Oryzias latipes: one gene and its partner. Each later gene encodes a partner of the first gene's protein in a complex. Links are inferred from orthologs where the notes say so. Each region holds a gene or a part of one and is shown on either strand. Other genes may lie near its edges.

What was found. The genes of interacting proteins can lie anywhere in the genome.
Region 2: rrs1 (region 1) and rpf2 share a complex: the UniProt entries of both Homo sapiens proteins name them as parts of the hexameric 5S RNP precursor complex. The link is inferred for Oryzias latipes from reciprocal best matches to the Homo sapiens genes RRS1 and RPF2.

The regions. Positions count from the first base shown.
Region 1 is NC_019878.2:17,066,247-17,069,505, reverse strand, and holds rrs1 (ribosome biogenesis regulatory protein homolog), read left to right. Parts: upstream 1-1,470; 5' UTR 1,471-1,540; coding exon 1,541-2,557; 3' UTR 2,558-2,678; downstream 2,679-3,259. UniProt on the Homo sapiens protein: Involved in ribosomal large subunit assembly. May regulate the localization of the 5S RNP/5S ribonucleoprotein particle to the nucleolus.
Region 2 is NC_019882.2:10,338,877-10,343,066, reverse strand, and holds the start of rpf2 (ribosome production factor 2 homolog), read left to right. Parts: upstream 1-1,291; 5' UTR 1,292-1,412; coding exon 1,413-1,435; intron 1,436-2,179; coding exon 2,180-2,312; intron 2,313-2,706; coding exon 2,707-2,744; intron 2,745-3,346; coding exon 3,347-3,386; intron 3,387-3,472; coding exon 3,473-3,554; intron 3,555-4,190. UniProt on the Homo sapiens protein: Involved in ribosomal large subunit assembly. May regulate the localization of the 5S RNP/5S ribonucleoprotein particle to the nucleolus.

The DNA.
Region 1 (3,259 bases):
GGCAGCACCAGTGTGGGAATGTGAGTGTGTATGCGACTATAAAGCGCTTTACACTTCAATTAAGGTAGTGAAGCATCATATGATGAGCACCATTTATCATGACAGTTATTGTAAGAAGGTGTTTGCAAAAGTGTCCTGCGACAGACTGGCGACCTGTCCTGGGTGTGTCCCACCTTCGTTCAACAGTGGCAGGGTTAGGCTACGGCATCCCCATGACCCAGAAAGGGTTAAAGCAAGAAAAAGAATGGATGGCTAGATGTGTAAAATTATTTTTTGATATTAATATTGGCAAGAAAAGTCATAGAAGTTTTACCTTTTTTCTGAGAACAAGTATTCCCTTAGTCAGGTGTGTATTGTAGCCATTTGGCTAACATTATATATTGTATTTATATTCCATGCATGGATGCTCCTGTCCTGCCTTGGTCATTTAGCCATTTGAGTTCCCTGTTGATGGGTGCATTTTGGAGATTGCCATGTCTTTATTAACATGCGTTTGGATTTTAGAACTTTGGAAGCATGACATTATATTATTCTTAGGCCATGTTCAGACTTTTGAATGCTATTTTGGGGGGTTTTATTGTAATTTTTCACTGTTTGAGTTCACAAAATATTTGACAAAAAAGGAAGAACATTGACCGTTTCTTATGAAGCAAGCATCAGATACGAGGCAGTTCCTGTTCCCCAAAACACCTGAATGACAGCAGTTATAGTGTTTTGTAACCTACAAAAAATATTGAGGGATAAATTAGGCTTATATTTTTTAAAAGATTAATATTTTAAGCTCTGCCAGGTGACACAACTGAAGGAAACCAAAATTATCGATGCCAACTCACTTTAAATGTGTATTTAAATAAATATCACAACTGAATGTCCATAAAATTCAAAAACAAGTATTGCAAACATGGTTTTATTTTGAAAAATTTTGCATATTTCTTAGCTTGACTGTATTTTGACACATAGAGTTGAAATTTTGTTGAACTGTCACCGATGAACTGTAACTGACTTTTTACCCCAAAAAAAATGCGTTTACATGTTTTTTTCTGTCTAGTTTAGCTAAATATATATCTTTTTAAATAATGTATATACACCCATCTGGAGCTTCTGTGACTGTCATCATCTGTGGTTTGATGTCTGTAGTCCACCTGTTGAAGCGCCCTAAGGCTACAGACTGAACTTAAACTTGACCCTAGTGTTCATTGGTGTGAAAAAGAGAAAAGAGCTTAAAAATGTTGCATGAATGTGGCATGAATTTAGATTTTTTTTATTAATATAGTGTATTTTATGTGTGTGTTATTATAACAAGTTGTATACATTGCATTAATTTGTTTGTTTTTTATTCAAATTTAAATGTCAAATTAGTGGAACAACATTGCCCTCTGGCAGCCAAATTCTGTATTATACAAGAAAATAAAACAACACTTCCCCCTGATGGTTACCGGTGGGAATTAGGCAACACTGCCTCGTGCGGTGAGACAATGAACTACACCGTGACCCGGAAGAAGACTCCTGTTGTTGCCCCACGTGTGTAGTGGTCGAAATCATGGCTGCGTGCAGCGTGGAGGAGCTGTTAGCGAAAGCCGAACAGGAGGAGGCTGAAAAACTGAAGACCATCTCCGTCCAGAAGGAGCTGGATTTGGACTTTGACGTGGGAAACCTGCTAGCTTGTGACAAAAACCGCATCGAGTCCAGGGACTTCAAAGAGCAGAATAAGGAAGACTTTCTCCGGTCGCTGGCCCGCGACAACACGCAGCTTCTTATCAACGAAATCTGGAAGGTGCCGACCGAGAGGGTCGAGGAGGCGATCGTAGCCAAACTACCGGAGCCGACGACCCGGTTGCCCAGAGAGAAACCTCCTCCGAAGCCCAAACCCCCGACGAAATGGGAGCAGTTCGCCAAACTGAAAGGCATCCAGAAGAAGAAGAAGACGAACCTGGTGTGGGATGAAACGGCCAAGGAGTGGAGGAGGCGCTGGGGCTACAAGAGGGCCAACGACGACACCAAAGACTGGCTGATCGAGGTTCCGCAGACCTCCGACCCGAACGAGGACCAGTTCGCCAAACGCGCCCATGCCAAGAAGGAGAGGGTGGCAAAGAACGAGTTCAACAGACTGAAGAACGTCGCCAGATCTCAGAAAATAAAAAACCCCGGTGTGGGGCTGCTACCCCGAGCCAAGCAATCCAAAGACGAGCTGAGCAAAGCTGTGAGCGTGGCCAAAACCTCCACGGCATCCGTGGGCAGGTTCCAGGATCGCCTCCCAAAGGAGAAGCCCCCCAAGAACGCAGGCAAGAGGAGGAAGTTTGAGCCCCTCATCGGGGACTTCTCCAGCGAGAAGCACAAGCAGCTGGAGCTCCTGAAGGTCATGGACAGCAAGAGGCCCAAGCTGGACATCACCAAAGCCGTCAACAAACAGATGAGAGAGGAGGACAGGGAGGAGGCTGCGTCCAGGAAGAAGGGAGGCAAAGGGGGAGCCACCCGGAGGCCCAAGGGGAAGGGGGGCAAAGGAAAAGGAGGCAAAGCTGGAGGAGGGAAGAGGAGAGGGAAACCTGGGAAGCGCTGAAGAAATTCTCTACATCCTGCTGCTGCAGAGCTGAACTCTGAGGACCGATTCCTGCTCCCCATAGCTTTTTGACTGTACTGTTGACAGAAAAGCAAATATATTCTACAATTTAAATACAAAAGTCTGCCGTTTCAGTTTTTTTTTACCTCCAATAAATGTCATATGGTTTTCAAAAAAAACTTATTTCCAATGAAAAGCTAATTTTAAGATTAAAAGAAATTCTGTTGCATTTTTCTCATGATGGAGGACATAAATAAAGAAATTTTAGATTAAAACTGCATTATTGAGTATTTCTTTATTCAGATCCTTGTGAATCAGGAGCAGACAGAAAATGCTGTTTGATAAATCCCTCAGTTGTAACGTAGAAACTGAACTGGGCAGACCAAAGTCTCCCTGCTCCGCCTCCACTTGCACACAAAGATGTAGAGAAATGTGAGGCGCTGTAATCTAGTGGGAGAGCGTGTAAACATGGATGACGGAAAGTGGGGGTGGACATACTCTGCAGCAATAGTTCCACCTACTGATGAACTGCTGCTCTGCACAAATTCTTCTCTAGAAAACAGCATTTGATTTTTCTATTTAGCCTAAAAACGGCATAGTCATAGTTGAAAAGACCGCTAGGAACACCCTGACAAAAGCGGATTGGAGTGGGAATTTAAAATCAAACTGGAATAGAATTGCTTTCTTTTTTTATCGTAAATT
Region 2 (4,190 bases), on another chromosome or scaffold:
AACTATTTTAAACTGTTCCTGCAGTAAAACATTACTATGTGAACACTTATGGTATCTCCTGCACACGCACTACTATTCTAATTCTTTTTTTTTAAATTTTTTATAAATACAAATGTGACAGAATATTTTTTCTGCAGACTCCTGGGTGGTTTTAAAAGAAAAAAAAAGACCAGGCTTTGTAGCAAATTAAACTCACATGAATCTGTCCCCCATAGTAGTGGGAGCAAAAAATGTCCGTCTGGGACAAAATAAACTGCATCCACTGCTGCCGTGTACAAATATCTCTCAATAACAAGGATTGACTGATGTCCTTCACAAAAAAACAATTTCATAATCTTGACAAATTTGAAACATTGTAGTATTCCTCTTAAGCAGAATATTAGACAAACATAGATGTTTAACTAACTGAATGCTGAGACAACCAACCCTGCTTTTGGTGTGGAGCCCCTTTTAGCTTGTTTGACTGATCACACTGCAAGATTTTATTGACATCAAGGGATCAGAAAGTCTTCCAGGAGGAAAGAATTTCACGAAGTAGAACAATTGTAAAGACAAAAGAAAAACGGATGTAACCATGATACTGGGTTTCTTTGGAAAATACATTAGGGGGAGGAATCTGACATCTATGTCATGAACATGAAATGTTTTTTATTCTCTTGTATGGAAGAACATCTTTCTTTTTTTCATGGCATCTCCAGGATTTTTTCTCTTTAATCTGATTGTTTTGTTCTTTTGAGCATCCCAACAGAGTTTAATGACTAAAAGCATAAATTGTTCTTTGCTTGCCTCTTGTCTCAAATCTTATTCAAACTGATCTCCATAAACATGAAACAGCAGTTGGTTTGGTTTAAGGCTGCATGGCCACATCAAGCCAATTTACATTTCCCATGATGCTGCAGGTGTGCTGCAGTTGTGTTTATTGCTTAAACTAATTGTTGATGGATCGGCATAGCTTTGGCTCAGAAGATTTTTTGGGAATTTTCAGGTTTTGCTAGATTTTCCACACGTTTGGTCAGAGTTGAACATCAATCAGTTCCCGTGCTTCAATGTTTGCATGTATTCAAAAGAAATATTATTTTGGGATTATTTTATGTACCATCGTGATAAAAATTTCCCGTTTAGAGAGTATAAACACTTAAATATTTTTTTTAAATGTAAAAAGTTTTTTTTTACCTTTTCGGCGTTTCTTTATATTTGGTGGTAAATGTCGCCCCCTGCCGGACAAATAGTATAATTTTCAGCGACTCCAAGCATTCTTGCACTGAGACAAAAGGTGGCGGCAACGAGCAAACTCCACTAAAAACGAAGAAGAGAGCCTCGTGTGTTTTTCTACCGGACAGAACCTCACGTGGAGGTTCCGGTTGCTGGCGCCACAGACTTAGAACAGGACCGAACCGAACCGCGACACGGACATGGCGCACTCAGACGGCATCACGTGAGTACCGCTCGCGCGCTAAGGTTTGGACCGTTTGAGCTTTCCCACATTCCTTGAGCTCACCAGGAGGACGCCAGAACTTGTCTGTAGGGATTTCCTGGAGGTTGGAGACCTCCATGAACCTCCACATTAATTTGAAGCCCCCAGCTCCACTGAAAGGTTCTGACTGTGCAGGTTCTGTGTTCCTCCTGAGATCAGAGCGCTCCTTCACAGATGTTTGAGGCGGTCTCAGGTGACTGGATCACCTGAATTCTGATTGGTTCCCTATTAAGGGCGCTTGCCATTTATACATCTTCAACTCCAAAACCCAATGGCCTGGAAATTTCCTAGGAGTCTTTGCAAAAAAAAACAGTGTGAATCCATGTTCACTAGATTAGAGAGTATAATTATGTTTGAATGATGTATTCATTCTAAATTATTTAAGTTGCATCATCTGATTACATAAATGGTCTCTGAAAAATGTTTGTTTTTATTATGCTTTTACATCATAGCAAATGAGTGATGTCATATTCAGTGTTTTAATGAATAAATGTTTTAATTGTCCAAATGTCTGGGGCAAATTCCAGATTTAAGTTTAGTTGGAAAACTTAGCTAAAATTTAAAGTTTTATATCTGAGTAACATTTTATTTAATATTATAATTGCATTCATGTTATGATTTTAATGTCATTAGTTTGCCTGATTTCTATCAATCTGGTGCTGAAACTGATGTTCAGACTCTTCGGGGGTTTTGCTGTGTTTTCAGAAAACCGAAGACGAGGCGTTCCAAGCGCTTCCTGGAGACCCGAGAACCCAAACTGTTGGAGAACGTGAAGAGCGTCATGATCATGAAGGGGGGCAACACAAACCAGACGGTCACTGAGGCCCTCAAAGACATCGTGAGTGACTTCGAACATCCCTAAAGTCTCCCTCTGATCATGAACCCGTGTCCTTTTTTAGGACCTAGTTTCTGCAGAGCAGCAGGAGTCCATTCGAAATTTGCCTCTGAGTTGTGGCTGTTAACATGATGCATCCTCAGCCCTCCACTCCTCCCTGTTACTGAGAGCTCTCTGTTTACCCTCTCGCTTTAACTTACAGCCACTTATACTCCCAAGCTAACATTATATTAGCAATATTGGAGCAGTTTAGAGCCAGATTGCAGCTCAGACGAGGAAATCCGCACACCGATCTAATGGTCTGCATGTTGAGCAGGGAGCAAGAAGATGTTAAAAACAGGATTTTGAAGAAAGTAATGATGAAGAAGTAAACATGGCCCTGTCCTCCTCCCTGCAGTACTCCCTGAAGAAGCCCAACGCCGTGCTCTACAAGAAGTAAGTTCCAATCCGAGCTGCTCTATGATCCACTTTCACCACAAGCCGAACGTTTTAGGCCTTTTTAGATCAGGTTATGGCCAACTTACAAAAATAATCATAAAGCCTGTCAAAGAACAGCAACACAGCTAAAATAATTCAATCCAAATCCTAAACTTTATGGCCAAATTGTCTAAATATTTTCCTGATGCTGCTAACATCACTTTTTTGAAATCTGAAAAACATCAGATCATTTTCTGATGTTATTTATGGTTTAAAGCTGCTGGAAAACTCAAATATTGACTTTAGAGGAGCTTTTGAATGGCTGTAATTTATGGAAGAAGTTTTTTTCTAAATATTTTATTTATGTTGATTAAAAAAATAAAAAACCTCCACTCTCTTTTAAGCAAAACAACAGTTTACTGTTGTTGTTTTCTTTCTTTTCTGGATTTTTTTGTCTGATCTGCAACAACAGTTTAGACAATAAAAGCCTCTTTTAGTCACGTCAGGGCTCTTAATTTGAAAGTTTTAGCCCTAGAGTGTAAAAACAGAAGTGTAACATTTAGAAGCAGAACAGCGCGTCGGGTCAGAACTTCTGTGAAGAAACGGTGTCTGTGTTTCAGGAAGAACATCACCCGACCTTTTGAAGACTCCACGTCTCTGGTGAGATTTCTGACCCTCTCTTACCGCTCGAGTGTCCCAGGAGATTTTGTCTTAAATTTGAACTATTACTTTTTTTTTTTTTTTAGGAGTTTTTCTCCAAGAAGAGCGACTGCTCTCTGTTCCTGTTCGGCTCCCACAACAAGAAACGACCCAACAACTTAATTTTTGGTAAATCCTGCTGCTTTAACCTGTTCGGAGGAGGACCGCTGGGCCTTTTGACACAATTATACGACATGAGAAGCTTATTAAAATATACAAACATGTTTTGATTGGTGACTTTTAGGTCAGTTTCAGGAGAAAATTGTTCAATCTTTCAAAAATCCCATAATTATATCATCTATTTAGCAGAAAATGCTTTAAAAAATAATAATTATTAGAAAAATGATAATATATACACAGTAAATCTAAATGTATACAAATTATGGTTTGAAATAAATTAATAAGTGCTAATTTATATTATTAACCTTTTCATGCTTCCCTTTATTTCAGATTATATGAAATGTTTTTGCCATTCTAGCTAATGCAAATTTAAATGCAGTCCAGGATTTAATGGGACGTTGCACATCAGCAACATGAAGGGGTTAAAAAGTCCAACCTTTGAACGGCAAACAGTATTTTTCTGTTTGAAAATACTTTTTTTTTCTTCAGTCTTCAATAATATTTGTTGGTAGGGCTGCCTGATTTGAGGAAAACTCACGAAATTAGTGGTCCATATATGTTGCAGGTTGATAGCAAATCAACCATCTGATTGGTCAACAACGTGAAGGAGTCCATCTGATTGGTCAAATGCATGAATGGATTTGA